4 linked regions of the Struthio camelus genome follow. The protein of the gene in region 1 interacts with the protein of each later gene in a pairwise test. Links are inferred from orthologs where the notes say so. Each region holds a gene or a part of one and is shown on either strand. Other genes may lie near its edges. The genes, in order: CEP57L1, RAD51D, KATNAL1 and KLC3.

Evidence for each region.
Region 2: the proteins of CEP57L1 (region 1) and RAD51D interact in binary tests that used the Homo sapiens proteins (3 or more experiments, as listed by UniProt). The two-hybrid records come from large-scale screens. The link is inferred for Struthio camelus from reciprocal best matches to the Homo sapiens genes CEP57L1 and RAD51D.
Region 3: the proteins of CEP57L1 (region 1) and KATNAL1 interact in binary tests that used the Homo sapiens proteins (3 or more experiments, as listed by UniProt). The two-hybrid records come from large-scale screens. The link is inferred for Struthio camelus from reciprocal best matches to the Homo sapiens genes CEP57L1 and KATNAL1.
Region 4: the proteins of CEP57L1 (region 1) and KLC3 interact in binary tests that used the Homo sapiens proteins (3 or more experiments, as listed by UniProt). The two-hybrid records come from large-scale screens. The link is inferred for Struthio camelus from reciprocal best matches to the Homo sapiens genes CEP57L1 and KLC3.

The regions. Positions count from the first base shown.
Region 1 is NC_090944.1:59,945,184-59,952,051, reverse strand, and holds the start of CEP57L1 (centrosomal protein CEP57L1), read right to left. Parts: upstream 3,001-6,868; 5' UTR 2,858-3,000; intron 1-2,857. Other genes in the region: SESN1 (sestrin-1), read left to right, coding at 3,554-4,003. UniProt on the Homo sapiens protein: Centrosomal protein which may be required for microtubule attachment to centrosomes.
Region 2 is NC_090957.1:14,879,336-14,886,665, reverse strand, and holds the start of RAD51D (DNA repair protein RAD51 homolog 4), read right to left. Parts: upstream 3,012-7,330; 5' UTR 2,975-3,011; coding exon 2,893-2,974; intron 2,086-2,892; coding exon 2,024-2,085; intron 1,660-2,023; coding exon 1,541-1,659; intron 683-1,540; coding exon 601-682; intron 1-600. Other genes in the region: UNC45B (protein unc-45 homolog B), read left to right, coding at 4,619-4,710, 5,573-5,615, 6,238-6,399, 7,120-7,156. UniProt on the Homo sapiens protein: Involved in the homologous recombination repair (HRR) pathway of double-stranded DNA breaks arising during DNA replication or induced by DNA-damaging agents. Bind to single-stranded DNA (ssDNA) and has DNA-dependent ATPase activity.
Region 3 is NC_090942.1:199,542,168-199,549,187, forward strand, and holds the start of KATNAL1 (katanin p60 ATPase-containing subunit A-like 1), read left to right. Parts: upstream 1-4,004; 5' UTR 4,005-6,553; intron 6,554-6,920; exon of another isoform or gene 6,921-7,020. UniProt on the Homo sapiens protein: Regulates microtubule dynamics in Sertoli cells, a process that is essential for spermiogenesis and male fertility. Severs microtubules in an ATP-dependent manner, promoting rapid reorganization of cellular microtubule arrays.
Region 4 is NC_090957.1:1,405,647-1,413,326, reverse strand, and holds the start of KLC3 (kinesin light chain 3), read left to right. Parts: upstream 1-4,674; 5' UTR 4,675-4,684; coding exon 4,685-4,704; intron 4,705-6,619; coding exon 6,620-6,860; intron 6,861-7,680. UniProt on the Homo sapiens protein: Kinesin is a microtubule-associated force-producing protein that may play a role in organelle transport. Plays a role during spermiogenesis in the development of the sperm tail midpiece and in the normal function of spermatozoa.

The sequences.
Region 1 (6,868 bases):
CTAATGAGGCAGGGCGGCAGAGGTTGGTTCAGATGTGCCTACCCAGCCCACACTAGGCCAGACCAGATTGCAGATGTACAGGCATGTGCTGAGAAGTAAAACAAGCCCAAGTTTTCTCCCACACCTTATTCTGGGGCTTTCTCGATCAGTCAGGCCAGTTTGTTAGGATGATACATGAATCTGGGCTTGACACCAAGGCTGGGCCTCAGTTCAAAGACAGTACAGAAGTAGCCTCTGGGTTTCTGGTGTCTCTCTGTAAAACAGGAGTCACAGAAGTTTGTTTCCTCAGAGGTCTACTGTGAAGAAAAAGGCATTAAATACTGTGAAGTGCCCAGATACTGTGGCAAGAAGCCAAAACCCAGATCCGAAAGGAAGAGGAGGGTGTAGGTTTAGAAGAGAGAGATCTCTCCCTACATATTTGCTAGTTTCAGTGAAGTAAGCTTTAACAAAATGGGTGTAAATGAAAGCATTCGAAGGAAAAAGCAGTTTATGCCAAGGTGCACAAGTTTTACTGTGTTATTACTAGTTCTCCAGTAATTGACTAAGTGAACTCTCCAGTAAAGAGCTCTCTTGTGACATACCGAAACTGGGAAAAACTTTTAAAAGTAAATGAAATACAGTTTAGCTCTTATTTATACCAGAGGAAGAAGAGAAAATGACATGAATGGAATTACTTTATATTTTCAAAAAAATAATTTTGCAGTTGGATATAATTTGCATACAGCTATAAAAGTCCTTTCTAATTAAAAAAGAGGGAAGTTGATAAATAATCAAGGAAGGAAATACTGAGACTTAAATCAGTTACAAAATTGTTTTACTTCAGCTTATCAGCTGAGTTAAAAAACTCAAATGCTGTAATTCTGGATGAGTTGACAGATTGTTTCCTTCGTAATCCTGCTTTTCTCTTACCCATTCTTTCGGAATCAAAACAACCATATTAACTTCAGTCAGTGAACGCACAAATGAAACAAATACACTCCCTTAACTTCAGGCTCTGATTAATTCTGCTAGTAGCCTTTGACCTTGATTTCCACGAAGTCTTGCAGTACATACAGAAGTTTGACCCAGTATCGGAAAACTGCAGAGATTTGATTTGAAAAAAAATAAAGCCACCTTCATCTCCATTACCAAAGTGCTACACTAAAACCTATAAAACAAAGAGCTGAAATCTGGAGTTTAGGCCTTGGAGCCAGTTTCACAATCTGTTTCCTGTACCAAGAGTTCATTTGCAGCCAGTGGAAAAAACAACTTCTAAAAGATAAAAGGCAGTGCTATGACTTTCAATCCATCTTACCATTCAGTGTGGGAATATAGCCATATTAAAGTCAGACATCAACACTTCTGTTTTGATTCTGTTTAGTATTGATCTCTAGTGTATGTATGTTATGCATTGTCAGAGACATCCAGCAAGTGTAAACTTGTCATAGGAAAAATGAGATATATCCAACTCCTGAAGATTAAAATTGAGACAGAAATAAAGCAAGCATATGTGACAGGCCTTTTCATAGGAACAGACGCACACTGTGGGGAGACCCACAATGAGTGACAACAGAACAGGACAGGAAACCAAAGTGGTAGCTAATATAAAAAAGAAGAGAATACAAAAGGCACTGGCAGTGGTATGTTCTTTGAACGCACCAGTTACGATGGGAGGAGGCCTTAGGTGCTTAGTGAAGACTCACATTTATTACAGCAGCGATGACTTGGGTAGATATATTGCTCACAACGGTGCCAAAGGCCTAGAGGAAGCACCTGCACGAAGCAGTCCAGGCCTGTTCACGCTACCAAACAATGGTAACTCAAATTCATTGCAGAATGGCTTTTCTTACAGGAGGGATGGGAAAATTAAAAAGAGATTGGTCTTCCTCGAAAGGTACAGGTAATGACAGAAGGACACCTATCTTGCAAGCTTCTGAGAAACTATGCCAGAAAACAAAAGGAATGTCAGTCAGATGAAGACATCGAACTCTCTGCAAATAAAAGAGTTTTGCGGAAGGCTAGTTTTTGTGAGCCAGCCCAAGTCTTCTTCCCAGAAATCAGAAGCCAATTCTGTGCTTTTCCATAGTAGGCAAGTAGCTTGTTCTGTATTTAACTTTGGTTTTGGGTTTTCAATTTTACAGCAGGAAACCTGTGCATGATAAACGTCAAATAATTATGCAAGACCACATAGACCCAATGTCCTGTTCCTTATTTACTTGCAAGTAGGCTTTTTGATTTCAGTATACCTGAAATTGTGGTTGCATGATTGCTTTAAGTTGAGAGCTGAAAACGTGTAATGCTGCCCATGTCTACACGTTTCCCTCGCCTCTTCTTTGCCAGCCTTAGTAATCATGCAGCCAAGAGGTGGATTGGATCAGGGAACTGACTTAGCTGGACATGATCAAAAAAAAAAAAAGCATCTATTTTCTGCAAAAAGGGAAAAATAAGGCCAGGGAAGCAGCAAGAACATCTCACTTGGTAGCAGTTGGCACTTACCTTGGATTAACAAACTGTGGAACTGTTGCCTAAGTTTAACATTAAAGAGATTTTTCTGTGGTTTTGTTTTCAGATTTGAAGGCACTGAATTTCACTTGCATGGGCTGCTTTTTTCCCTCGTGTGGACGTGTTTACTTAGCCTGTACCAAAGGCTTCTGCTGAAGTGTACATTTGACAAGCTTTTGTGATTGCTTAAAACACGTGTGCGTTTATTTTTTGGCCAATGCAAATTCCTAAAGTAAATTTACCCCCAGGACTTGCTGTCGCAAGTAATAAAGGACACCTTTTTTTTTTTTTTTCGTTTGAGAAATCTGCCACACGCCTGTAGAGAAAATCAAGGGGGGGGGAGGGTAGAAATGACTATCTAAACTGTCTCCCTTACCTAGAGGTTACGCGTTTCCTTCAAAACACACGGCTGACCCCACCGCAGCCCCCCCGGCTCACTCGCCAGCCCAGGCCTAGGACCCTGCCCAGCCCCGGCCGAGGTCCCGGCGCCGCTCCGGGCAGGTCACGGCGCCGGCCGCCCCTGCGCGCGTTGCCTCCTGGGGCGCGTAGTTTCGCCTCTGGGGGGGGGGGGGGGGAGACGCAGAGTCGCCCTGCTGCAAGACTACACGTCCCAACATGCCCTCCTGCGATAGCGACTCTCCGCTCTGATTGGGCCACCTGTAGCGAACGCTGAAGAGCGATTGGCTGGGAGGCCACGTCCATCATGTGGATTCCGCCTTGTTGGGCGGGGCTATCCCCCTTCCCCCTACCGGGGAGGGATGCGCCGGGGGGGTGTGAGGCGGTCCTGCCTCGGCGGGGACGCCCTGTCCCGCCACGGGAAGGAGGGAGGGAGCGGCTGAGGCAGGGCTGTGGCCCGCCCCGGCCCCTTTCCCTCCACGCCCGGGCAGGGGAGGAGGAGCTGCCCGCGCCGCGGGGTGGTGGCTGCCCCGCTCCCGGCCGGGCGAGGCGAAGCCCCAGCGGCGCTGCTGGCGCGGCGGCCGTTGGCGGCGGCGCCCGCCGGGGCTGAGGGAGTGACCACCCGTCCCCCTCCCCTCCCCTCCCCTCGGCTCTCCTCCCCCCTCTCCCCCCCCCGATGTGGCGCACGCTCCGCGCTTTCTGCGCGCCGCCGAGTTTGTTTTCTTTGTGGGCGGGTCCGGTGCCGGGAGCAGCTCGGCTCGGCGATGCGGCGGCCGCGCCGGTGCTGCTGCTGCTGAGGCGGCCGTGGGGGAGCCGGAGCGTGCCAGCGGCCCCCATGGAGGAGCGGGAGGGCGAGGTGCGCTGGGACGGGCTGTGCAGCCGCGACGCCGCTACCCGCGACGCCGCCCTGGACAACATCGGGCAAGCCGTGCTCCGCCGCAGCGAGACTGTCGCGCCCGTGGCGGCGGCGGCGGCGGCGCCTGCCCGAGCCGCCGCCGGGCTCCTGGCTCCCGCCGCCGCCCGGGACGGGCTGAGCGCGGCGCTGGCCCGCCTGCTTATGCTCTCCAAGCGCTGCCCCTTCCGCGACGTGCGGGAGAAGAGCGAGGCCATCCTCGGCAGGGTGCAGGTAAGCGCGGCCCCGGCGGGAGCCCCGCGGCGCCCGCCGCCCGCTCCGCAGCTGCCGCGGGGCACCGGGTGGGGAGGGAGGCGGCCGGCGGCCCGGGGTGCCGCTCCTCGCTGGGAGCGGGGCGCTGCGCTTGCCGGCGGCAGCTGAGGGGGCGGCCCGAAGCGCGGAGCCTGGTCCCCGAACTGGCGCTTCGGCTGTGCTTGTGCAGCAGTACGCGCACGAGAGGAGAGAAGTTTGGGAAGGAGTTGTGAAAAGGGAGGGGAAATGCATGAAGAAATCCAGTGAGAGCGCTGGCCGTGAATCGCTGCAAAGTGAGCGTACTGCTGGGACGCCAGGGCGTCCAGAAGGAGGTGCTAAAATGACAAACGTACGTCTCTGGTTCTGGTCCGCTTTACCAGTGCGGCGATATTAGCAGTTCGCTTAATACAAAAGCAGATTGGCTGGGAGGCCACCCAAAGATTTGGGTATGAACGTTTAAGACTGCTAAATAAAGATATAAACCAGTATGGGAATTTTGGGGCTTTTATGTTATAAGAGCTGGATGCGTTTGAAGACTATTAAAGCAGAGCTTGTCAAAATTCTTCTTCTGTTGTTGTTTATTGGTAAATAGTCTCTCCACTGGAAATAGTAAGAGCCAAACTATTTTTCTTAAAGCTCGTAGGCGATCTAACCAATAGCAGATTAAACTTGCTGGCCTTTCATGCTAAGAAAACTGTTATTTTTTTTACTTCCCCACCGGTTATAGCCTAAGTATAGTTACTCTTGTTGCAATTTTCTTGCTCATGTAAAATGTTCGTAAGGTCTTGAAATTCTGATGATAGACTTGTATCAAAGGATACAGTGTCACTTTTCTATTTTATTTTGTAGAACTTCTCAATTGTGTGCAGCGTGATAAATTTTACATACAATATAATTTAATTTATATAGTTTGGGCTGAATGGGACATTTCTCAAAGCAGATTTTTTGCCAAGAAAAACCATGCTGCGTTTACGGTTTATGTGGAAGGCTTGACAATTATACTACTTTAAAAAGGAAAGTTGAATGTTAAGTTGATAATTTAACCTGGCACCTTTGTATCAGCATTTTTCCTGTTGGAGATTCAAATGAGAAGACGCTATTACAGTGAGAATGATGAGTCACTAGAACAGACTGCTAAGGAAAAGACTTACTTTTATCAAGTATAAGTTGTCAGAGTCTATTCAAAGGCCAAATGGGTGGTGATCTCTGACCTAAATTATGGAAGAGGGCAGACTACGTGATCTGTTGACTCCCTTTTAGGTTTACATACATGAATTTACTAGCATGCTAAACTATTTTTCTTGTTTAAGAACTTTGTTAGTAGCGTTTTTAAATAGGCCAAAAAATTCTACTAGAAAGCTGCAGTTCGCTGCGTTTTGATTTAGCAAGTACAAGTTCACATCACATGGCCGTAGCTGGCTTGACTAATAATAACAAGAGTGAAAGAACTACACGAATATGAAACCATTCACATGTATGTGAGCTGCAGGAAAGGTCTTGCAACAAGTTAAGGAAAGTCAGAAATATATTATTTAAAAAAATCTGTAAAAGGTGCTTTTGTATGCCTTCTATCTTGTCTGTATCTATTCCCTAAGAAGCTAACAGCTTTTCTGACTTGAGAACGGCAAGTTTTAGTTCCTAGGATTGTACTCGTAAATGCAAATTCTTTTGTAATCTTTGGATCAGCATTCATGGAAGAAATAATCCAATCCAAGCATTCCATTTTGGATGCTATGGACTATTTTCAGACATGGAATGATTTTCTGTTAATTTCACAGCCAAAAAGAATTTTATTCAAATCTTTGCGATGAACGTGTTAGATAAAGCAAAATATTAAGCAAAATGTACTTATTCTGTAGAACTTGCAGGTTTTAGCAGGGTTTCTAAAGGTAAACAGGTTGGTAATATTATAATAAAATGAAATCCTGTTTAGAATAGTATCAGTAGTTAAAGGACTCATTGTATTACTTCATCTTCCTGTGTTAGGATATGAAATAATCTTTCTTTAAGTTCACAGTAGTATGTACCACTCTGCTATCTTAACCTTATTCCCTGTCCAAGCCATAAAAGGACAAAAAGCCCAGGGCAGAAAGAGGCAACTTTGAACCTAAAGGTTCTCCTGGGAACCAGTGCTGTCCACCACCCCTCTCCTGTGGGATGGTCTATCCCAAACTCATAGTCTGAGCCTGGACTGGACTGAACTTCTTTGTGGAAGCAGAATTGGGAAATGTGCTTTTTTTTTTTTTTTTTTAAATCTTGCCGCTATGCATGCAGGATTGGTCAGCGAGGAAATCCAAGATGTGAATTCCACCCATGGTCTGGTAGCTGTTTCCTTCTGGGTCTAGTGCCCTCTTGACTGTTGAAGTGACCAAGAAATACTTGGATGTGAGCAGGTCAGCTGCTGCCTTTTTAGCAGCTGTGTGTCTGGAGCAAGTTGGTGGAATGTACCATACGGCTGGTGTAAGTTGCAGACTTGGCAGCTGCCACTGTCAACATGGCTCCTTTTTTAGGACCCTAATTTGGCATCCCTGTGAGCATGCCTCTAGAGAAAAACCTCTAGAGAGTTTTTCTAGAGAAAAATTCCTCTAAAATACAGTCAATTCCTAAGCAAACTTACTTCTTTGCTTCCGATTAATAAGTAGCATTGCCTGTATCAGAATCTATAAAAAATACATTACTGCTTAATGTAGATTCCTGTGGCTTTGACTTGTATTCAGGATCTCTTATTGTGGGCTAAAATGTGGGGGAGTGTGTGTGTGTGTGCATGAACGTATATTTTTGCTGATCTCAGGAAAGTGGATAAAGCTTTAAGTAACCTGAATATTTATCCTTTCTCGACATCATTGT
Region 2 (7,330 bases), on another chromosome or scaffold:
AGCCAGAACCAGCAGAAGTCTGGTTTCAAGCCTCCTGCCAGGGCTGCCCTGTGCTCTGGGAAAGGCTGAAGGCTGATGGAGGAGACAAAGCCAGTGCCTGCCCACAGCCTGTTTTCCCAGTGCTTTCCTCTTATCTGCACCCCATGCAAGCTGAAAGGGCCAACGATTGCCAGTGGCAAAATTGCTCCGACGGCCTCACAGCCAAGGCAGCCACCTGCAGCAGCAGGGTCCTTCACCACAGGAGCTACCAAGCTGGAAAGAATAAAGACTTCCTCTGTTCAAAAGGTCACACCAGCCTCACACCCCAGGTTTGGATCAGGTCCCTCCTTCCTGTGCCTGAAAGCCTGCAATGTAGGAGACCAGCATAGGGAGAAGGTGGGAACAGATGGGTTTTGCCAAAAGCTGACAATAGCTTTTTTCCCCCCTCCTCCTTGTGTTCTCATTAGAAACCATCCAATTAACCAAAGGTAGGATGGGGTGAGTCCAGGTTGTGTCCTTAAATATAGATTGCAGCATGGGTCCAGGGAGAAGTCACCTTCCTCATGCACTGTAGCATCATTTTCATCATACCTGTCCACTGCCCTCCTCTGTCCTGCTCACCTGTGTCTTCCCACTGCCAGGCGCTCCCATGAGCTCTGTCACTTCCCCTGTGTACAGCCCAGAGTCCAGCAGCTTGTCCAAACTAAGGGTTGAACACAAGGGTGGAACTATTTACACACCTTCAGGCAGAAGGGCAAGGGCATTGGGAAGCAGCAATCCCCAGTTATTCATCCCTACAGAGGTCCCTTTCCAACTGCAGATGAGTGGCCCAGACTCTGCTCCTTCCCCCCTTCCCCTGGGTCTCTCCACATTCTGGAGAGCAGCAGAAGGCCTGCAGTGTCATGTATAAGAGGACAGTCCTGAAGAGGAGAAGAACTGTGGTCTGAGAGCTCTCAAGTTGTGAACACCCCAGATTTCTCTGCACAGTCACTGCAACCACTCGGTGAGGCAACTGGAGAAAGGGAGAAATAAGTCACAGAAGAAGAGCACAACTTATTTCTGTGCCTGATCTAGATAATTTGGACCATCATCACTCAACCCTCCTCACAAGTCTATAATCCTCCTCTCTAGAGCGCTAAGGAAAGGGTGAAGGGAGCATGTCATCTAGCCTAGAAGTCAGACATGCTAATCACTTTCCAGGAGAGGTACAGGCTCTCAGGAGGACAACAGCAATGCCATTCCCTCAAGGGGCACAGACTGACTTGAGTTTGCAGCCATGGTTTGGGCAGGATATGAAGAATAAATGTCTTCGTTCTCATCCTAGCACCGCAGAGAGGGCTTCAAGGTGGAGGAGAGGCTGAGACCATAGGCAGGAGAGCTGCAGCAGCTCCACGAAGGAGCGCTGGCCATAGCACCCCAGGTCCGTTCCACCCTCGTCCCATCTCACCCTGCACAGTGCTTGAAGCACCACCTGGCTGAAACCCAAAGCCCAGGCTGGACTGTCTTTCCACAGAGAGTTTCCCACAGCCAGACCTGTTTGCACCCTGGGCAATGTACCCACCTGGCAATCCCAGTGGACAAGATGGCCGTGGAGCTCTTGAGCTCCTCATAGAGGTCTGCTCCATTGGCAGGGAAGGCCGAGAACTGGGCCAGGAGCACGCGCCTCACAGCAACCAGAGCCTGGTGGGCAGAGAGACATCTGAAAAGGCAGTTGAGGAAGTCTTGGGCTAGGGCAGTGCAGGGACAACACAAAACAAACGGTCTCCATTGCCCTGGGCAACTGTGGGTCCCACACGCTCCAGCAACCCACCCAGCGATATAGGGTGCTGATAGCACAGTCCCCATTCACAGCTTGGGCTCTTAAGCACAGTAGTAAAATACTGAGCGCTCAGCACAAGGCTGACTAACACAGAGCCAAGCACAACAGAGAAACCAATGACACAGGAGAATCAGAAGGTCCCTGTGGACAAGTCTGACCAAGCACTGAGTTGAACAGCTCTGAGCTCCCAGGTTAACGTAACAGGACTTACAAGTCTCCCTTTACCTTGTAAGACAGGGAACACTTCTGAGCAATGTCCTCCAGGTCTGACGATACAAAGTCCACCACTGCAAATAACATGAAGAACAAGAAGTTGGAGGCCAAACCATAACAGACCATCAACACCAAAAAGCTGATCAGCTCCTGCAGGAAATATCACCCTGAGACTGCAGGATGACCACATGCTTGGACAAAATCTACCTTTAGGCACTGACAGCTAAAACATTCCTGTGCCTCGGCCGATGCTCTGACCAGGTGAGCAGGATGCCCCGCGAAGTGGGACAATGGGGTTTTTCCTCTGAGGTGGCACTGGCATCACATGAGCCCCATCCATTAAGTTCATTGCAAAATGAATTAGGGAGAGGCTAATAAAAAATACTCCCTAGTTGTGCTCAAGAGCTGCCCAGGACCATTTGATAGCTAGAGTCAGCCAAGACAGGGCAGTTCTGCTAGTGCAGCAGAGCCTGTCTCAAGGGGCTAACGACTGACTCAAAGTGCCAGCTCAGGACATGCAGAGAAAGGCAAAAGTCACAGAAATTAGGGAAGAACTACTAGCCCATTTCTGCCCCAGGAGCCACTTTAAGATTTCTTTCTTAATTGAAACATGTACATTAGGCATTAAAAAATAGTAAAAGGCAGTTCTCACGGGGAAGAGGAGGATTATAGCATCCGTGGCTTGGGCACTCACAGGCTCTCGACCCAAGGCTCCCTTTAACAAGGATAAAGCGCTTCATCCTTTATCAGAGCCAGCAAAGAGCCCACCTGGAGCCCACCGGCAGCGGGGCCTGGCCCAGAGCGCTGGCAGCTACGAGGGAAAAAACACACGCAAAACCCTCAAACGCCTTTTAAGAGCCGCGCCCGGCGCGGCCGCTCACCCGTCCGGACGCCGCCCGCCCCGAGGAGCCGGATCGTCTCCGCGCCGAGGCCGGGGCAGAGCCCGGCCCGCAGCAGCGCCATGGCCCCGGCCGGCCCCGCTCCGCCCCGCCCCCGCGGCCGCCCCCGCTCCGGCCCCGCTCCGCCCCCGCGGCCCTTCCTGCTTCCCGCGGAGCCGCGCGGCAGCGGCCCGCTCACACCCCCGCCTAGCGGCTGCGCTCAGCCGGGCGCCAGCCCGCTTCAAAACGCGGAGCCCGACTTGAAAACCCCTCCTGCTTGAAAAGCAGGGTGACCCGAGCAGCGAAGGAAAGCAGAAATACCTCCACCTCCACCTCCCTGACCCCACCAGCCCCAGCAGGGGAGGCTCCAGCTGGCCCTAAAGGGCTGCTAGCACAGGTGACAGCGACGCCCTGGCTCCCAGGCCCTACACCACCCACCCCCACAAGAGCTGGGTGTTTTTGGGGGAGGGGGGTAAATGCTACTGGTGGGGGTAATGTTGGAGGAGTGTGTATTAGAGATTGGGGCAAGCATGTTTAAAAGTTAGTTTTAAAAGGGAGTTTGGTTTAAAAGGTAGGAGGCAGAAGTGAGGCTACTGTAGTCTTGCCTTGTAGAGTGCTTTGTGCTTCTGGGCAGAGCTTATTCCTCTCTTAAAAGTAAAGCTCACTTCTGGAGCTGCCTCTGGCTGTGATCTGAGCTCCTGTCTGCCCGAGCAGGCAGGGAGGACCTCTGTCAGGTGCTGTGCCAAGAGCTGTGAGTGTGGTGGGGCAGGCTGAAGGCCTCTCGCAGGAGCAGAGCTGCTGTGGTGTCCCAGTGCTTGCTGGAAGAACAGGTATGCACACAGGGGTGAAACTTTGGCTCTTAACCTCCAGGGGCTCTTGCAGAGAAGGGTCTGTGCTCTGTGTCCTGTTCAGCTACCCTAAACTTGCATTAGGGCTTTGGGGGTAACTCCAGGAAGGATCAAATGCAGCTCTGCACCAAGGAGCTGGTCTTCAGTTAACTGCCCCATTGAACCGAAGTGTGATACCGGCGTGCCTGGTACGGTGCACAGCTACTCCCGTGGCCCAACTGCTTCTCTAGAGATGCTGAAGTTCATTTTGGTGGTTTTGGGAGGGCAACTTAAACACTGAATGTCCTGCCTTTTCTTCTGCAAAACCTCCTATCAGAACACAGCTCGAAGCCGCGAGGTGAGGTGGGATCCGAGGCCGGAACGTGGCAGGAGCCGCTCGCGCGCCGATGGGCCTGGCAGGGTCGCTCCAGGCTGCTGCCTGAGCAGCAACAGCTCCTCCACACAGCTGGCTGCTGCCCTCCTTGTCCCCCGGCGATGAATTTCCCCAGGAAAAAATGCTTTTTTGCTTTCCCGGGTGAGGCCTCCAGAGGGCTCCCAGGGTTTGTGGCTGCACGTCGGTGCTGTGCAACTGCTGTCGTCCGCTTCGGCAACGGCACAACCTGGGGAGCTGCAGACCGCGGCCGCTCTGTCTCGAGCATAGGTAGCATCAGACAAAACTTTATTTTGTAACTTAATGTGTTTGAAGTACCTCCAGTATTGCTGCTGGTGAAAATGAAGCCTTTATCTGGGATAACTTAAGATATCCTGGATAACTTGCTATATGCCACAGGAATTACTGGAATGAAGAAAGCTGACCCTTCTCCCACACCTAAAGCAATACGAGGAGGTGCTTCCAACGTGTTAGTCAAAGCAGGCCCTGGAAAAGCTGTGGTGCCAACTCGATGCGTGGCGGAAGTGGCTTCTTCCGCCCTCCAAGAGGTGGTGTCTCTGCAGGCCCCGTGGATCCATCGCTGCGCTGCTCTGCTCTCAGAAGGTGAGGGCCTGAAACTTCTCCGCAAGGGGACGTGATGCAGAGACCTTCAAACCTCGTTGCGACCCCCTCCGGTACAGCTAACAGGGACAGAGTGGCGCTAGTTGGTAGACGTTGAAGGAGCTAGACGTGAGCTGATGTAGCTCGAGGACTGCTGGACAAAGCAGTCTTGTGCCAATTCTTTCTGCGTAAGACCCATAAGCTGTGACACAGAACACCAGCACTAAACGTAACCTAATTTTTTTCTTGGCAGGGCCCTAGAACGGAGCACATCCCCTGGCATAGCTCAGCTCTGCTCCATTGGAGCAACAGAGCAGTTACCAACCTGCCCCTGCTTCCCTCGGTCAATAGTTTCCCCAGTCCTGTTGCCAGTTCCCCCATCCGTTCTGTAGCTGGGACGCTGGCGGTCGCACTTAGGAGCTCGTGGCCTGCGTGTTGGAGGAGATCAGGCTGCAAAGCAAAATTCCCGATGCTCCGTGGCCTGAAAAATATGTAGGTTTGAAAGGCTCAGCTCTGATCTGGAGGAGTTCAGCAGTTCTCTCTCCTGGCCTGCGTCGCTCAAACTGAGACCTGAGGCTCTCGTTGCAGCAATGGGCCAATGCGCTCTGGGCCAGACCTTTGTGCTGGACTGCGCCCAGAGGGCTGCGAAACGGAGAGGAGGAGGCAGCACTGCGTGCGAATCAACTTTCTTTCCCAGCGCCTTCTGGAAGGTGCTGGGCGCTGCTGCAGCTGCCGGCCTGGGGCCATTTGCTCTGGCAGCTCAGCTGTCTCCCGCTTCCTTAAATAGAAAAGGGTCTGAGCACTGGGCTGGGGGTCAACTCTCCTGGCTGTTTTTTTTTTTTTTTTTTTTTTTTTTTTTTGGCAGGACCCTCCTCTTCCTGCACCCCCTGCCCGGCGCTGCTCCGCAGGTACGGCAGCGCTGAGGTTTGGTTCGGCGGCGGGGACGGGTTTCCTGCTGGCTGCGGAAAGACGCTTCGCTGGGGCGGGCAGGTGCCCCCGGAGCCGGGCCGGTCGCGGGTGCCCTGGCGTGCAGCCCCCCCTGGGGTGCTATATAGCAGGGGGAGAGGTGGGGACAGGCTGCGGTGACAGGCGACGCTGACGGGCCCCAGGAGCTGCCGGGTCCTGCCCAAACTTGGAGCGGGAGGTGAGGGAGATGGGCTCTTTCCCAGCTGTCCAGACCGTCCGCGGCGCCTGCTGACTTCGGAAACTTTTTTCTTTTATTAATTGACCCTGGAGGATCTGCAACGCCAGGAAAAACTTTTGGGAAGCCACAGCCTGGAGGAGCAATTTGGGCCTTGGTGTTTTTGAAGGCTTCAGTCCAGTAACCTGCTTTTATTGAAGTGCGTGTTAGTTAAATGTCGGGATCAGAGCGCAGCTTGGCTTGATGGCCAGACTCACCCGAGGGAGTACGCCAGCGACCCTGTCGTACGGGAGGCTGCAAACGGAAGGGGCACAAACTGATATATATATTTTTTTAAATTCCCAGGCAGGCTAAAATTTGCATCTTTTTTCCCCCCCTCTCCTCTCCAGATGGAGGATCCCATCCAGCTGAAAGAGGAGGGCAATAAATATTTTCAGGCCAGCGATTATGAGAAAGCCATTCAAAGCTACACTCAGGCCATAAAGCTCAACAAGGACAAGGCGCTGCAGGCGGTGCTGTACAGGAACAGGGCGGCGTGTTTCCTGAAAAAGGTGAGAGAGGGGCTCCCGGCTTGCCCGGGTGGTGCTGGCCTGGGGCAGGAGGGGAGCGAGAGCCGGGATGCAGGAGCAGGGCGGCAGCCGAGGATGCTCGGCAGCGATCAGCTGTGCTGTTAATAAAACCCTGAGAGATGGGGACCAGCAGCCGGAGGTCGCGGGGGTTGCTGGAGCACAGGCAATGGTTTACGGAGCATGGGCTCAAATCTGTTCCTCCCTTTGCTGTGCGAGCCTGGCATCCCCACGGCCAGCCGGCCTCGTGCAGGCGCTCCCTGGAGATTTCCAGGCGGTGGCGGCACTGTGTGAATAGCAAGAGAAAATAGGTGCTTTTCCAAGTCGCGTCTCAGCAGGAGCAAAGCTCACGCTGCGCAGGATGTGTCCCCCTCAGATGCTGCTGGGGGCAGAGGAGACTCCATGGTTTGGGTGCAGAGGCTTCTCTCCCGCTTGCCTTTTCCAGCATAAGAGAAGCAGGCATGGATCTTAGCGCAAAAAGAAAAGTTATTAGAATCTGTAGCAAAACCACCTCAGCTCCCTGAAGACCTGCCATGGGATTTCAGATCGCTTACGTGTTCCTGAAAAAGCGTGTTACTTTTCGTTTCTCGTGGCGTCTGATTAGTAAGTGGGAATAGAGAGGTCACGGTGTGCATCGGTAACGTGGATATATCCTGCTAATCGACTGCCCTGCTAACGAATCGTCCTTCCTTCCTGACTCGACAGGAGGAATACGTCAAGGCAGCCTCGGATGCGTCTCGAGGTAAGGAGGAGGCTGCTTGCAAGAAGTGAGCTGTGCTTGTGGGTATGCTCCCTCCAGCCTGCTCTCGCATCTCCTTTTGGGGCCCTGTGGTCTTCCTGCTTCAAATCCACTAATGCCCAAGTGCTTAGCTTGGTTTTGAGGCTACAGGGAAATTAATAGAGAAGATGCAAAGGA
Region 3 (7,020 bases), on another chromosome or scaffold:
TCTCTTGCTAAAGCTCTTCACTTCCTCAAATAGGCAGGTGTAACTGTTTACAAGGTCACACCATAAACCTGACAGAGATGTGATCTAGGGTAAAACTAACACTTTATTTCACAGGATCCTATTTAATCCAGATCATTTCACCAACCCAGTTTACAGTGCCACCACATAAACAGCTGTACCTGCACAAACGACAGAGTGATAAGCAAAAGCAGAGGGCAAGAACAAGCGCTGAGGGGCGAGGACCTGTTAAGTCACTTTTGTTGCCGAGGACAAGATGCAAAGAATAGCACAGAACAGCATTCAAAGCTGAAGAGGCTCCTCCAGATGATAATTCAGAGCAGAAGCCTAGCTTACATAGTCTGAATTGCTCCCTGGAGGAACCTCTCTCTCTCTTAGACTATGCAAGGCATCTAGGGAGACGAGCCTCCTAATTTAGGCATCCAAGTTAGATGCTAAACGTAGGCAGTATTTCCCCAGAGAATGTGAATGGGATGTTATAAAAATTTAAAATATGTTTAACCAAAGCTATTATGCCAATGTTTGTTCTTTTATGAGATGCTGTTTTCTGTGCTACTGACACACTGTTATGACACTATTGTGTTGCTCATTTATTAGATGCACGAAAAAATTAACAAATGCACATCTTCCAAATACAATCCAAATTTAAAGTTAAAAAAAGATTCCCAATTTTACACTCGTAATGGGAACCAGATTAAGTTGTTCACATGGAAACCACTGCATATACCCTATAGTTATCACATCAGAGGACCAGAAAGAGAAAAGAAAGGGAATTCACAATGATCACCACCATATTATTTAACCTTCTTGTTCTTCTTAAATATTTTTGTAGGTTTTCATTAGGCACTTTGGCTACACTTTCATTTGTAGTTATTTCTTGCCATTTAGTGTATTGCCCGTGTTTACTCAGACCTTTATACACATGCAGGGACTGAAGTTTTAGAATTTATCTATAAATGACAGAAATTGTTCTTCTAATACAGATGCATGGCCACCAGTGTGCTTACCTCCTCACTCCTGACTTGCACTCTTGCTTTTTAAGTATATACCAGCACACAGATTTTCACTGCATCTTCCTTCAAATATGACTACCTTCATTGCCATTGATCATAGCACTATTCAAAGGACTGTTCAACACAATCCTGGAAAGGATTATGATACGTTAAGAAGCGCTCTTTAAATATAACTGACTTCTATTCTGGATGACTGTGTTTACAGGAGTGGACTGTTAAAGTCAGTTCACCTTCTAGTATCTCACACTGCAGAATTGGAGCTAGGATGCCTAGGAAATCTAAAATGGTGGGCAAGCTATTAATATGTAATAGACTGAGCTTTGTTTAATCTAATGGTTTGGGCATCTAAACTGCGCAAAAAGCTGCACAATAGCTCTTATATTCGAAACTGACACTTTAAGTCAGAAACGTATCTATAAGCAAAGGCCACTAACATATACCAGCACGACTTAAATTTTTGGCTATGCCAGGTAACAGGCTGCATTGATACAACTGCTTGGTTCAAACTACTGAAGCCTAGTATCCTACAGTTGTGTATCCATTTCCCCTTAGCCCTCACCACTGCAATATATAAAGCAGCCTGTGTGTCACATATGACACTGCAGCTGTGCTCAGAAGTAGGTGCAGCAAGTAGCAGTGAGGGCAGTCAGTCATTTTTTGCATGCAGATTGGCCAGCCTGTTGCCAGATGAACCATTTAACAGCTAAGTTCTCCCCACCTTGTGCTCCATTGGGGCAACAGCAAGGCCCATCTTTTGTATCCTGCCACTTACTACTAAACTAAAAGGAACTCAATTATTATAACAACTTCCAACCTTTTGTCAGATGTGCCTGAAATTAGCCAATGAGGTTCGAAATGACTGCCGTGGGAAAGACTGCATGCAATTCCAGAAGTGTCACATCTTTAGCAAACCAGCCTAAAATCCACACCCTACCATGAAAGAGTTATATTGCCAAACCTTTCTCACTTAATTCTCTTGTGTATCACAGGAGATTTCTTCTTAGCTGTCAATTCTAGCAAACACATCATATTAACGGAGCTCTGCCACTTTATACTATCTGATGACCTGCCACAGGACTGGGATGATGTGAATGAACTTTTCTTTTCCTGTTCCAGTTTTCATGTAACAACTGCTGACTCCACTTTCTCTGAGGTTTCTTTCCAAGCCTTCCTTTCTGTTTGGACTACTGTAAGCTACTTTCTTATTCCTTCTCTGAACAGTAACACTCCAGCAGATGCAAAACGCTTCTGTATATTAAGTGTATAGAAAAAAGAAATATGACACCTTAGTTTCTAGTAATTCTTCTAATTTCTGTCAAAAGACTCAAAGCAGAGCTATTATTTTTTCAACCCACTGTGGACTTGCTTCAAGCCATGTCAAAGATCTACCTTCTCTTCTACCTGTTCTTTCCATTAATCTGGCATTGGCCTCTTCATCATTTTAATCTAAGAGGCCGTAAGTGTCGTGACAACTATTTCTCTCTATGGCTCCAACCATGCAACAAACATCTTAGGTGGGACTCCTCTCACCCACCTTTAGGCATCTGCACTGCAGAAACTGCTATTTACAATGATCACCTTCTATAAATATTAGGAAAAAAAAAAAGCACATTCAGGGCACAGTCCCCCTTGGTCAAAGGGGGAACTATATCCCTGAAGTACCTCTCTCTCTCTACCATGAAGAAAATCTAGAGGAAGCCTAATTCAGATGCACAAGTCTACGTAACAGATGTCTATCTTTGACTGGAAAAATACAATAGCTTGCGGCCAGCCCTATGCTGACTTTCTGGTTTAATTGAAATCTCATCTGAAAATCAACTGCTCTGCCTTGAAAGAGTCTTTATTACCAGCCTACAGAATTTTGAGAAGTAGCTTGTGTGAAAGATGTCAACTAAATCCTTCTGTGTTGCCACTTTGTCAAAATTTCTTAAGGTTCAGACTTTAAAGTTCTCTTCGAGGATAAAAAATGGTGGATGTGTCATACTAATAAATACCATACAATAAAAATACCTAGGCAGACCAATTACTATGCATGTTTACAAAGTAATATGCCTTTACTAAGTTGTGCATAACTTCTCTTGGGAGGTTAATGACCATGATTATGTAACATGCTCCTTCTTTTCCCTATTGTTTCTCTATTGCTTTTCACCTCCAATTATTAAAGCATTTCTCAATGTTGTCTGTAAGACCTTTGGTATAGACTTATGTTTGCATTTGAGTATTAAAGATTACTACAAAGGCAGAATAATTCCTATGGCCCAATTAAATATAATTGCAAGGGGAAGCGATGACAAAAGCAGAGGGCAGTTCATAATTCACAAGTATCTCATGTGCTTTCAGTCTTCTCTTGCAGAACTTTGTGTGGGAGGAGGCTACGAATGAAGCTCCCTGCTACAGCGCTAAATGCCCGTGCCAGCCATCTGAGTTAGATACAGTCTATGGAATTTATGCAATAATAACCAAATCAATTTAGAAACCAGTTTTGTTAATCTGACACAGACCCTAAGTGTGGCTAGCTTAAAACATGGCTGACAGTGTCTGCAATTACTGTGGCTTAAGAGATACTTTTGAACCAATTCAGATGTTCATGGCAAAAGAGTTACGCTAATTTATATCAGCTTCTGATTGAACTGACTAAATTCATAGAATAAATTGGAGAGAGAGGGCACACAATGCCAGCTCTGCGGGCAGAATTACAGGCCTCTGGGAAGGGGCATGTTAAGTCTCTGGGGTTTGGCTGCGAGTAATGCCCTCCTCTACCAACACAGCTGGAGCCTGTCTAACCACAGCCTCTGACACCCACCAACATCATGTCTTATCCAGAACTGCTAGGTTTAGGTCTTCTGTCAAAAAGAAAAAAAAAAGTAATCCATGGGAGAGAATATATTCATAGTAGAACAAGTTTCAGTGGTTTAAAGTGTCACCTCTCCCAAGGATTTCTTACCTTCTCTTTGCCTGAGATTACTGCCTCACAGCAGAGTTGGTGGAATGAAATATGTGCATGACTCTCGGCTGCTTCAATATGAGGTCCAGCAAATTAACTTAAATTGCTGATAAGGATGAGTTTAATGCCAGTTTTTGTAATAAAATGGATTAGAGACAGGAGTGTTTTCCATTCCAGGGACTGTTGTGGAGGCAGAAACCTTCAGCAGAGAGGTAGAACAAATAATTAGGGAAGTAATATATCTTACATCACTCCAGCCACATTTCCTGGAGTTCATCTGACCATAGCAATACAAAAGGCTATGAAATGGCATGCGCAAATCTACTGTCTTTCTCCTCATTAACAAGTTTATGAACTTCTATAGGCCTGTTAGTCCTTTCTCCTCCAGTTGTCCCTTCTCATGATCAAAAACCACATAGTAGTATAATTATGAGCTTTACAGTGAGAAAGAGCAGGAGGCTGGCCTAGAGGACCTCCTGGGGTCCCTTCCAACAGGAACTACCCTGTGATCCTTATGTATGCGTAGTATACAGGGTTAGCAGTCTGGAGAGCTGGTTCTTTTCCTGCTGCTTACTTTTAAGTTATAGTTACTTATTAGATCTTGGCAAATTGTGTAGATCATGCTTTCTGAATCAAACTTTCCCTCTGAGGAGTCCAACTAGAGTGAGACAGGTATTGCTATGACTGTAAGCAACTGCTTTTCAATTGGAAGTCAATGGGAATATGGTTACCCTATGTCACGAGGAAGCAGCCCATGGAAAGAAGAAAAAAACCAGAGGTTATGACTGAACAGCCAACCTTACTTCTCTGTGTCACAATTTCCTAGCTGAGGGATCTGATCCTCAGACAAATCAGTTCATGTGTTGGCTAAAGTGATAGGAGGTATACAGTCTTGTGGGAAGAGATATTACGGTGGTGCAAGGGACAGGCTGCTTGCAATCTGTTGGCCCTAAGAAGCCTTAGGCTCTCTAAGATCTGCATAGCATCTTTGCTTTTGGGTATGTGGAAAACCAGGAGGAATCATGCCTTCAGCAGGCAAGTATGGAGAAGTCTGGAAAAGGGGGAAGCCAGAGGGGCTCACAAAGGCAGAAAAATCTCCACGTGATTTTGAGGGAAGCAAGACATGCGCATATATGTGAGTGACACATACACACATGCTGCATTATTTAAGAGGCGTACTAAGCTCTTAGCTTCAATCCTTGCTCTTTCACTTATGTTAGTTAGCATTTCTGAGGCCCTTTTTGTGAAGTACCACCTAATGCTGCTACGTCAAGGTAACTAACGTTTACGTTTTCCAGTTAAGTTACATGTCATTATAGGGAGCTACCACATGGTCATTACTGGGAAAGTCTCAGAGTTGTCACAAGTGGCACAGAGCCATTGAAGTGGTGTTGGTGCACACGGAAACACAGCTCAAATCTGTTGGGATCTCACTGGGCTAATCCTGCCTCCATCACATGTTCCCTCTGTCTTCCTGGGGCCCGATGCAGCTTTGTGGGGTCAACTAATTCAGGAATTGATTCTGCTAAAAACTGTTTGGTTTTTTTTTTTGGAGAGGTATACCCAGCTTTCAGATGGTTCAGACCCTAGACCTACCTTACCAGATAGTGACTTGAGCATTACTGCTGTGTAAGTCACAGGAAAGCATAGCCAGGATCAGAGAAGAAGGCAGGACTGTCCCTTTTGGTAGCAATAAGGACACTGACTGACTCACATTAATTGTGAAATCATATCCTTTGAGAGACTTATTGTTTCCTTTATAAGAGACCCAACCGTTTATCTTACGTATGAGATGCTTGCTTCAGAAATGCTAGGTAATATCCATTCTTGGCAATAACATAAACTGGGTGCTTTTCTTTGATTAGGCTGCCTGTGACCACCACGTATCACCTGGCTCCCAAAAAAATGGGAAAATGGGAATCCCAAAAATCTTATGTGTTCAGTTCTTATATGAAAGCCATGACATCTGCTAGCAAAATGTGTATCAAGTCTCTGTGTGCCCATACAGAGGACAACTGCATATTTTGCCTTTTCTAGTCACTCCCACAGCTGAAGTGGGAAGAGATGAGTTTTGTATTGTGTATGTGAAAATCCATTAAAACTTAAATAAATAAAACCTAAAAAAAAATGGTAACCATAGAAAACTGCTGGAACTGCAGTTCGGCTGGTTCAGAAGCGTATCTGCATGCTGTGGTGTTTTATCACTTCTAAGGCTTACACTTTCCTCCTTTGAAAGGGAGAGTGCCACTTTTAACTGTGGGTCTTTTCTTAATGGACTGAAAGGGCGAGGCTCTCTTTCTTAACTCAAGCCAGTAATTTTAACAGAAATTATTCTAAGGATTCCTAAAATGTAGGCTTAACAGTGGAAACGGGGGGGGGGGGGGCAGGGGGCTTGCAACACCCATCGCCATCCTCAAAGATGAAGATGTGAAGAGCTTTTCCTTTGTTTGAAGCTCGCTGGAGAAACCACACCCTTTCCCTCCGCCAGGACAAGGTCACGGAAACTCTTGAGGGAGAAGGTGCGAGTTTTCTGCCTACGCATCCAGGCAGTGGAAGGCCCTTCACACGTTCGAGAAAGGTCAGGACTCGTCTGTTCTTCTCTCTCTCCAGAAAAACAAACAAAGGAAAAAAATCTCCGACTCCCTCTGGGGACCCACGAAAGCGCATGTGGAAGAAGCCTCCGCGGGTGCAGCTCCGGGGTCACCCCCGTGGGGACGGCACCTAGGGCCCCTCTTGGGAAGGGACAGCGCTTTGAAGGCGAGGCCACGCCGCCGGCCGGCCGGCCGGCCAGCCCTCGGCAGGGGTGCCGGGCACCGGGTGCCCTCAGCGCCCGCCCTGGGCGCGGCCGGGGCCGAGCTCCCCACGGGCGGGTGGGGCGCGCCCCGCCCCTCCCCCACCAACGGCCGCGCCCCCGCCTCGCAGCTGCGGCCTCGCGGCGGGGGCGGGGTAGCGGGATGCTGCGCCGCGGCTACGCCGTCCCTCCCCGCGCTCCGCCGCCGCCGCCATGGCAACCGGCCGTTGCCGCCGCCGCGCGCGCGCGCGCGC
Region 4 (7,680 bases), on another chromosome or scaffold:
GCACCCGGTTCGGTTCAGCACCGGCGGGGTCCAATCCGGCCGGTACCGGAGGGGTCCGGTCCGGTCCGGGCAGACCCGGCTCGGTTCAGCACCGGCGGGGTCCAATCCGGCCGGTACCGGAGGGGTCCGGTCCGGTCCGGGCAGACCCGGCTCGGTTCAGCACCGGCGGGGTCCAATCCGGCCGGTACCGGAGGGGTCCGGTCCGGTCCGGGCAGACCCGGCTCGGTTCAGCACCGGCGGGGGTGCAATCCGGCCGGTACCGGAGGGGTCCGGTTCGGCCAGACCCGGCTCGGTTCGGCACCGGCGGGGTCGGACCCGGCTCGGGTCGATACCGGAGGGCTCCGGCCCGGTTCGGTTCAGCACCGGAGAGGTCCGGTGCCGGTACCGGTGCCGGTGCCGCGGGGTTACCTGAGCGGCGCGGACGAACGGGTCGGGTCGGGTCGGGTCGGGTCGGGTCGGGTCGGAGGGGTCGGACCGGCAGCGGCGGCGGCGGCGGGGAGCGGGGCCGGGCACCGGCCTTTATAGCCCCGAGGCCGCGCCGCCCCCCCGCCTCGGCCCGCCCCCGGGGGGTACCGGGGGGTCCGGGGCCACCGGAGGGTCCGGGGCACCGGGGTGGTCCAGGAAACGGGGGAGGTCCCGGAGCACCAGGGGGTCCGGCACATCGGGGGGTCCCGGGACACCGGGGGGTACCGGGGGGGGCCGGTACCACCCGCCACTGGGTTACATCGAGCTGGACCGGGCGGGGGGGGGGGGGCAAAACCGGGACTAGGGAGGTAAAGCTGGGACGAGGGTCGGGGGGGGAAAACCGACCCCAGGGGGTTAAAACCAGGACCGGGGGGTGCAAAACCAAACCCGGGGTTTGGGGAGGGTAAAACTGAGCCTAGGGGGCAAAACCAAGACCAAGGGGCGGAACCAAGACCAGGGGGGTAAAACCAGGCCCAGGGAGGGCAGAAGGGCCCCAGGCAGCCCCGGTGCGATGGGCCCGGCCTCACCGGGACCCTCCAGGCCCCCCCTGCACCGAGCGGGTCAGGCCTCAGCGGCGGCGGGTGGCCAGCGGGCACCCTGCCCGGCAGCTGCCCGGCCCTGAAATACGGCCGCGAGGTGGGGCCGGGCGCTGGGCCAGCCAGGCGCCCGCTGCGTCCGGCCCTCGCACGCGCGCCCTTGCACGGCGCCCTGTGCCTTCCATGGGTGTCCTGTGCCTTGCATGGGTGCCCTGCACCCTACATGGGCACCCTGCACCTTGCATGGGCGTCCTGCACCCCACATGGGCAGCTTGCACCCTACATGGGCACCCTGAGCCTTGCATGGGCGTCCTGCACCCCACATGGGTGTCCTGCACCCCACATGGGCACCCTGTGCTTTGCATGGGCACCCTGCACCTTGCATGGGTGTCCTGCACCCTACATGGGCACCCTGTGCCTTGCATGGGTGTCCTGCACCTTGCATGGGTGTCCTGCACCCCACATGGGCACCCTCTGCTTTGCATGGGTGTCCTGCACCTTGCATGGGTGTCCTGCACCCCACATGGGCAGCTTGCACCCTACATGGGCACCCTGTGCCTTGCATGGGTGTCCTGCACCCCACATGGGTGTCCTGCACCCCACATGGGCACCCTGTGCCTTGCATGGGTGTCCTGCACCCCACATGGGCACCCTCTGCTTTGCATGGGTGTCCTGCACCTTGCATGGGTGTCCTGCACCCCACATGGGCAGCTTGCACCCTACATGGGCACCCTGAGCCTTGCATGGGCGTCCTGCACCCCACATGGGTGTCCTGCACCCCACATGGGCACCCTGTGCTTTGCATGGGCACCCTGCACCTTGCATGGGTGTCCTGCACCCCACATGGGCACCCTGTGCCTTGCATGGGTGTCCTGCACCTTGCATGGGCGTCCTGCACCCCACATGGGTGTCCTGCACCCCACATGGGCACCCTGTGCTTTGCATGGGCACCCTGCACCTTGCATGGGTGTCCTGCACCCCACATGGGCACCCTGTGCCTTGCATGGGTGTCCTGCACCTTGCATGGGTGTCCTGCACCCCACATGGGCACCCTCTGCTTTGCATGGGTGTCCTGCACCTTGCATGGGTGTCCTGCACCCCACATGGGCAGCTTGCACCCTACATGGGCACCCTGTGCCTTGCATGGGTGTCCTGCACCCCACATGGGTGTCCTGCACCCCACATGGGCACCCTGTGCTTTGCATGGGCACCCTGCACCTTGCATGGGTGTCCTGCACCCCACATGGGCACCCTGTGCCTTGCATGGGTGTCCTGCACCTTGCATGGGTGTTCTGCACCCCACATGGGCACCCTGCGCCTTGCATGGGCACCCTGCACCTTGCACAGGTGTCCTGCACCCCACATGGGCACCCTGTGCCTTGCATGGGTGTTCTGCACCCTACATGGGCACCCTGCACCTTGCACAGGTGTCCTACACCCTGCATGGACACCCTGTGCCTTACATGGGTGTCCTGCACCTTGAGTGGGTGTTCTGCACCCAACATGGGCACCCTGCACCTTTCATAGGTGTCCTGCACCTTGCATGGGCACCCTGCACCTTGCGTGGGCACCCGGCACCCTGCACAGGGCTCGCTGTTCCACCTCCCGCACCCCGGTCCTTGCCCGCTGCGCCCCCTCCTCGCACACGCGGATGTGGGTGCGGGACGGGGAGAGGGTGGAGGGAGGGCGGGATGGAGAGAGGAAATGGAGGGAGAGAGAAGGGAAAGGAGAGAGGGCCGGGCAGAGCGTGGGAGGGATGGCGAGAGGGAGGGAGGAGAAGAGATGGCAGGAGGAGATGGAGGAAGAGAGGAAGGGATGGAGGGAGGAAGGGAGAGGGACGGAGGCAGGGAGAGAGGGATGGTGGGACGGATGAGGGAGCAGCGGAGGGGTAGAGGAGATGGAGGGAGGTGTAGGAGGGAGGGAGAAGGATGGCAGGAGGTGGCGGTGGATGAGAGGGATGGGTGGCGTGATGAAAAGAGGATGGAGGGATGGAGAGAGAGATGGAGGGATGAACAGAGAGGCTAGAGGGAGAGAGGGATGGAGAGATGGAGGAGGGATGGAGAGATGGATGAACAGAGAGGATAGAGGGAGAGAGGGATGGGGAGATGGAAGGAGGGATGGAGAGATGGAGGAGGGATGGAGAGATGGATGAACAGAGAGGATAGAGGGAGAGAGGGATGGGGAGATGGAAGGAGGGATGGAGAGATGGAGGAGGGATGGAGAGATGGATGAACAGAGAGGATAGAGGGAGAGAGGGATGGGGAGATGGAAGGAGGGATGGAGGAACGGTGGCGGGAGAGGGGAGATGGAGGCAGGGATAGATGGAGAGAGGGATGGAGAGAGAGGGGGAGACCCAGGTGAGGAGAGGCCGGCCACAAGGGTCTCCCCCCTCACCTCCCCCAGCGCCAGGTCCACGGGTGCCCCTTGGGGACACGGTGGCACCCCCGTCCCCAGGCCGGGGAGGCCACCGGTGGGTGGCACAAGCCATCCCCACGCCCAAAATAGCCGCGGAGGGTGCCAGCAGCGCCCCGTCCCCCATGTCACCCACACCCCCAGGGCGTGGGGTCCCTGCTGTGGGTGCTGGGTTGGGGGGGGAGGTCAGGGTGCTGGGGACACCCAGCGGGTGCCGTGACCCTGGGGAAGGATCCGCTGGATCAGGGCAATTCTAGCCGGGGACGAGCCTCCCCCCCCCTCCCCACCCGGTATTTTTAGGCCGGGTCCGGTTACCCGCGGGGATCCGGTGTCGGGCCGGGCGGTGGGGCGGGGGGGAAGCGGGTGCTGGGGACCCCCACGGGGGGACCGGGAGGGCCAGGCGGCGGGGACACTGTGAGGGCACCCACCACCCCGCATGGGGCCCTGCGGGGGAAACCGAGGCAGGGAGTGGGGTACCCCCCGCCGGGTGGCCCCAGGCACCCAGGGGTGGGCGAGCCCCCCTCCCCGTGCTATGGTGGGGGGGGATGTTGGGCTGTGGGTGCCCCCCCAGGCAGGGCAGGGCACCTGCACCCATGGCAGGGTGGGGGGGGTGAGGGACACCTCGGTACCCCCGGAGTGTACGTGGGGGGGCTGTCTGGGTGTCCCCAGGGTGTGTATGGGGGGGTCTAGGTGACGCCAGAATGGGCATGGGGGGGCCTGGAACCCCCACAGGGTGGGTATGGGGAGGTCTGGGTGACCCCAGGGTGGGCACGGGGGGGTCTGGAGCTCCCCAGGGTGGGTATGGGTGACCCCAGGGTGGGCATTGGGAAGTCCTGCAGCCCCCCAGGGTGGGTATGGGGGGGTCTGGGTGCCCCTGGGGTGGGCGGGGGGGGTCCAGAGCCCCCCAAGGTGGGTATGGGGGGGGTCTGGGTGCCCCTGAAGTGGGCAGGGGGTGGTCTGGAGCCCCCCAGGGTGGGTATGGGGGGGTCTGGGTGCCCCTGGGGTGGGCGGGGGGGGGTCCGGAGCCCCCCAGGGTGGGACGGGGGTGCCAATAGGGTGCCCCATAGCACTGGGGGGGTCCCCTTGTCCTTGGGGTGCCCCCTAACCCCGGCGGTGCCCCCCCCTCTCCCGGGGCCGCCTCAGGGCGCCCCCCGCTCCCGCTGAGGCGGCCCAAGATGGCGGCGGCGGGGGCGGCGCGCGGGGCATTGTGGGGCGGCGGCGGCCGCAGGTGAGCGGCGGTGGCCGAGGGGCGGGAGGGGGGGGAGGCGGCGATGCCGGAGCCCGGCGGCAGGTGCGTACGGGCGGCCGGTTCGAGCCGGGGCCGCCGGTTTCGCTCCCGGGGGGGGGGTGGGGAGGGAAGATACCGGTTTTGAAGGTGGGAGGGGGTGTCCGGTTTTGGGGGAAGAGGTGTGTGTGTGTGTGGGGGGGGTCCGGTCCGGGAGCGGGTTGGGGGGGGGGGCGTCGGGCTCTCCCGCTCCCGGTGCGCTGCGCTGGCTCGGCCCGAGCCGACCGGGGGGCTCCGCCCGGTGCCGCCACCGCCGGTGGGGCCGGGCCGGGGGGCGCGCGCGGGGCGGGGCGGGGCGGGGCGGGGCGGGGGGACCCACGGCGCATGCGCGCGGGAGGGGCGGGGGGCTGTGGATGGTCGCGTGCGCATGCGCGCGGGGGGGGCCGGGAGGGGGGGCCGGGGAGGGGCGCGTGCGCATGCGCACGACTGCGAAGGGAGGGGGGCGCGCGTGCAAGGGGGATGGGCGCGTGTGCGCATGCGCTTGCCGGGGGTGGGGCGGGGCGCGTGCACGGGAGGGGGCGCGTGCACGCGGGCGTGCAAGGGTGCGCAAAAGGTGGGGGCGGGTGTGATCACCGGTGTGCAAGAAGGGGGGGGTTGCGTTTGCACGCGCACACACGTGCAAAGTGGGGGGGGGGCACACGCATGTGCCTCTGCCCACAAAGCCCGGGTGTGTGGGCCCGTGGGCGTGCGAAGCTGGGTTGTGCGTGCAAAGCCCAGTCGTACAGGCACATGCGCGTGCAAAGCCTGGTGGCGTGCACGTGCGAGTGCAAAGCCCGGTTTTAGTGCGCGTGCACCATTGCAAAACCAGGTGGGGCATGCACGCGTGAGTGCAAAGGCAGGTTGTGTGTGCAAAGCCCAGTTGTGCACGCCCGGGCGTGTGATTGTGTGTGCAAAGCTAGCTTGTGTGCACACATGCGAATGCAAAGTCGAGGTTTTGTGTGCACGCACAAGTGCAACATGGGTGACACAAAGCCGGGTTTGTGCAAAGCCCCGGGCGAGGGCTGAGAGTATGCACGCGAGCGTGCAAGCCTGGAGATGGTGCCAGGCCAGGTGGCTGGGCTGGGGGAGGGGGGCATTGCGCGTGCACATACGTGTGCAAAACCAGGCTGCACGTGTGGGCCAAGGTGGGCGCACGTGAGCTGGGGCGTGGGTGCACGAGGCCTTTGCACGTGGCGCCCGTGGGCGAGCGTGGGCACGCTGGCCGCATCACCCGGGCAGAGCCGCCCCGGGGCACCGCACCCCTGCTGGGTGCAGGCTCCTCTGCCCGGCTCTGGCACCCGTGCCTGCACCCGTGCAAGATATCCATGGCTGGCTCTGGCACCCGTGCATCCAGGGCCAGCACCCATGTCTGCCTCCAGCACCCGTGCATGACACCCGTGCATGACACCCATGCCCACCTCTGGCATCCGTGCATGTCACCTGTGCATGTCACCCATGCCCACCTCTGGCACCCGTGCCCGGCACCCGTGCATGGCACCCATGCCTGCTTCTGACACGCATGCATGGCACCCTTGCCCAGCTCCAGCACCCGTGCCCAGCACCCATGCCTGACCCCCGTGCCCACCTCTGGCACCTGTGCCCAGCACCCATAAGAGACATCCATGCCTGGCTTCGGCACCCGTGCATGGGATCCAAGCCCAGCACCCATACCCGCCTACAGCACCCGTGCCTGACACCCATGCCCACCACTGGCACCTGTGCATGGCACCCATGCCCAGCACCCATGCGTGACATCCATGCCTGGCTCTGACACCTGTGCATGGCACCCATGGATGTCACCCGTGCATGGCACCCATGCATGACACCCATGCATGACGCCTGTGCCCAAAAGCAGCACCCATGCCCAGCCCGGCCACCCGTGCCCATCTCAGCACCCATCCCTGCAGCGCGGTGACCCCCTCCCACCCCTCCGCTCCCGCAGGCTCGACAGCCCCATGGCAGCACCCGGCGGGGACCCGGCGGGCCGCCCGGCACCCGACGCCCTGGTGACGGGCACCCGGCAGGTGGTGAAGGGGCTGGAGGCGCTGCGCACCGAGAGCCGCCAGCTGCTGCGGGTGCTGGAGCCGGGGGCACCCTGCGACACCCCGGAGCTGCTGGCCGAGAAGCGGGAGCTGGCGCGGCGCTCGCTTGACGGCATCGAGCTGGGCCTGGACGAAGCGGAGGTACGCGGCGGGCGGGTGGGTGCTGGGTGGGTGTTAGGTGCTAGAGGTGGGCTGCTGGGACGGCGCTGGCTGCTGGAGCCAGGGTGGGTGCCGGAGCCAGAGCTGGGTGCTAGAGCTGGGACAGGTGCTGGAGTTGGATGCTAGAGCTGGATACCGGAGCTGGGATGGGTGCTGGGTACTAGAGCTGAGTGCTGGGTGCTAGAGTTGGGTGCTGGAGCTGGGATGGGTGCTGGGTACCAGAGCTGGGTGCTAGAGCTGGGATGGGTGCTGGGTACCAGAGCTGGGTGCTAGAGTCAAGTGCTGGAGCTGGGATGGGTGCTAGAGCCAAGTGGTGGGTGCTAGAGCCAAGTGCTGGAGCTGGGATGGGTGCTGGGTACCAGAGCTGGGTGCTAGAGCTGGGATGGGTGCGGGGTACCAGAGCTGGGTGCTAGAGCCAAGTGCTAGAGCTGGGATGGGTGCTGGGTACCAGAGCTGGGTGCTAGAGCCAAGTGCTAGAGCTGGGATGGGTGCTGGGTACCAGAGCTGGGTGCTAGAGCCAAGTGCTGGAGCTGAGATGGGTGCTAGAGCCGAGTGGTGGGTGCTAGAGCTGGGCACTGGAGCTGGGATGGGTACTGGGTACCAGAGCTGGGTGCTAGAGCTGGGATGGGTGCTAGAGCCAGAGCTGGGTGCTAGATCCAAGTGCTGGGTGCTAGAGCTGGGATGGATGCTGGGTGCTACAGCTAGGTGCTGGGTGCTAGAGCCAGGTGCTGGAGCCTGGATGGGTGCTGGAGCCAGAGCTGGGTGCTAGAGCAGGTGCCAGGTGCCCCATCCGTGCCCGACA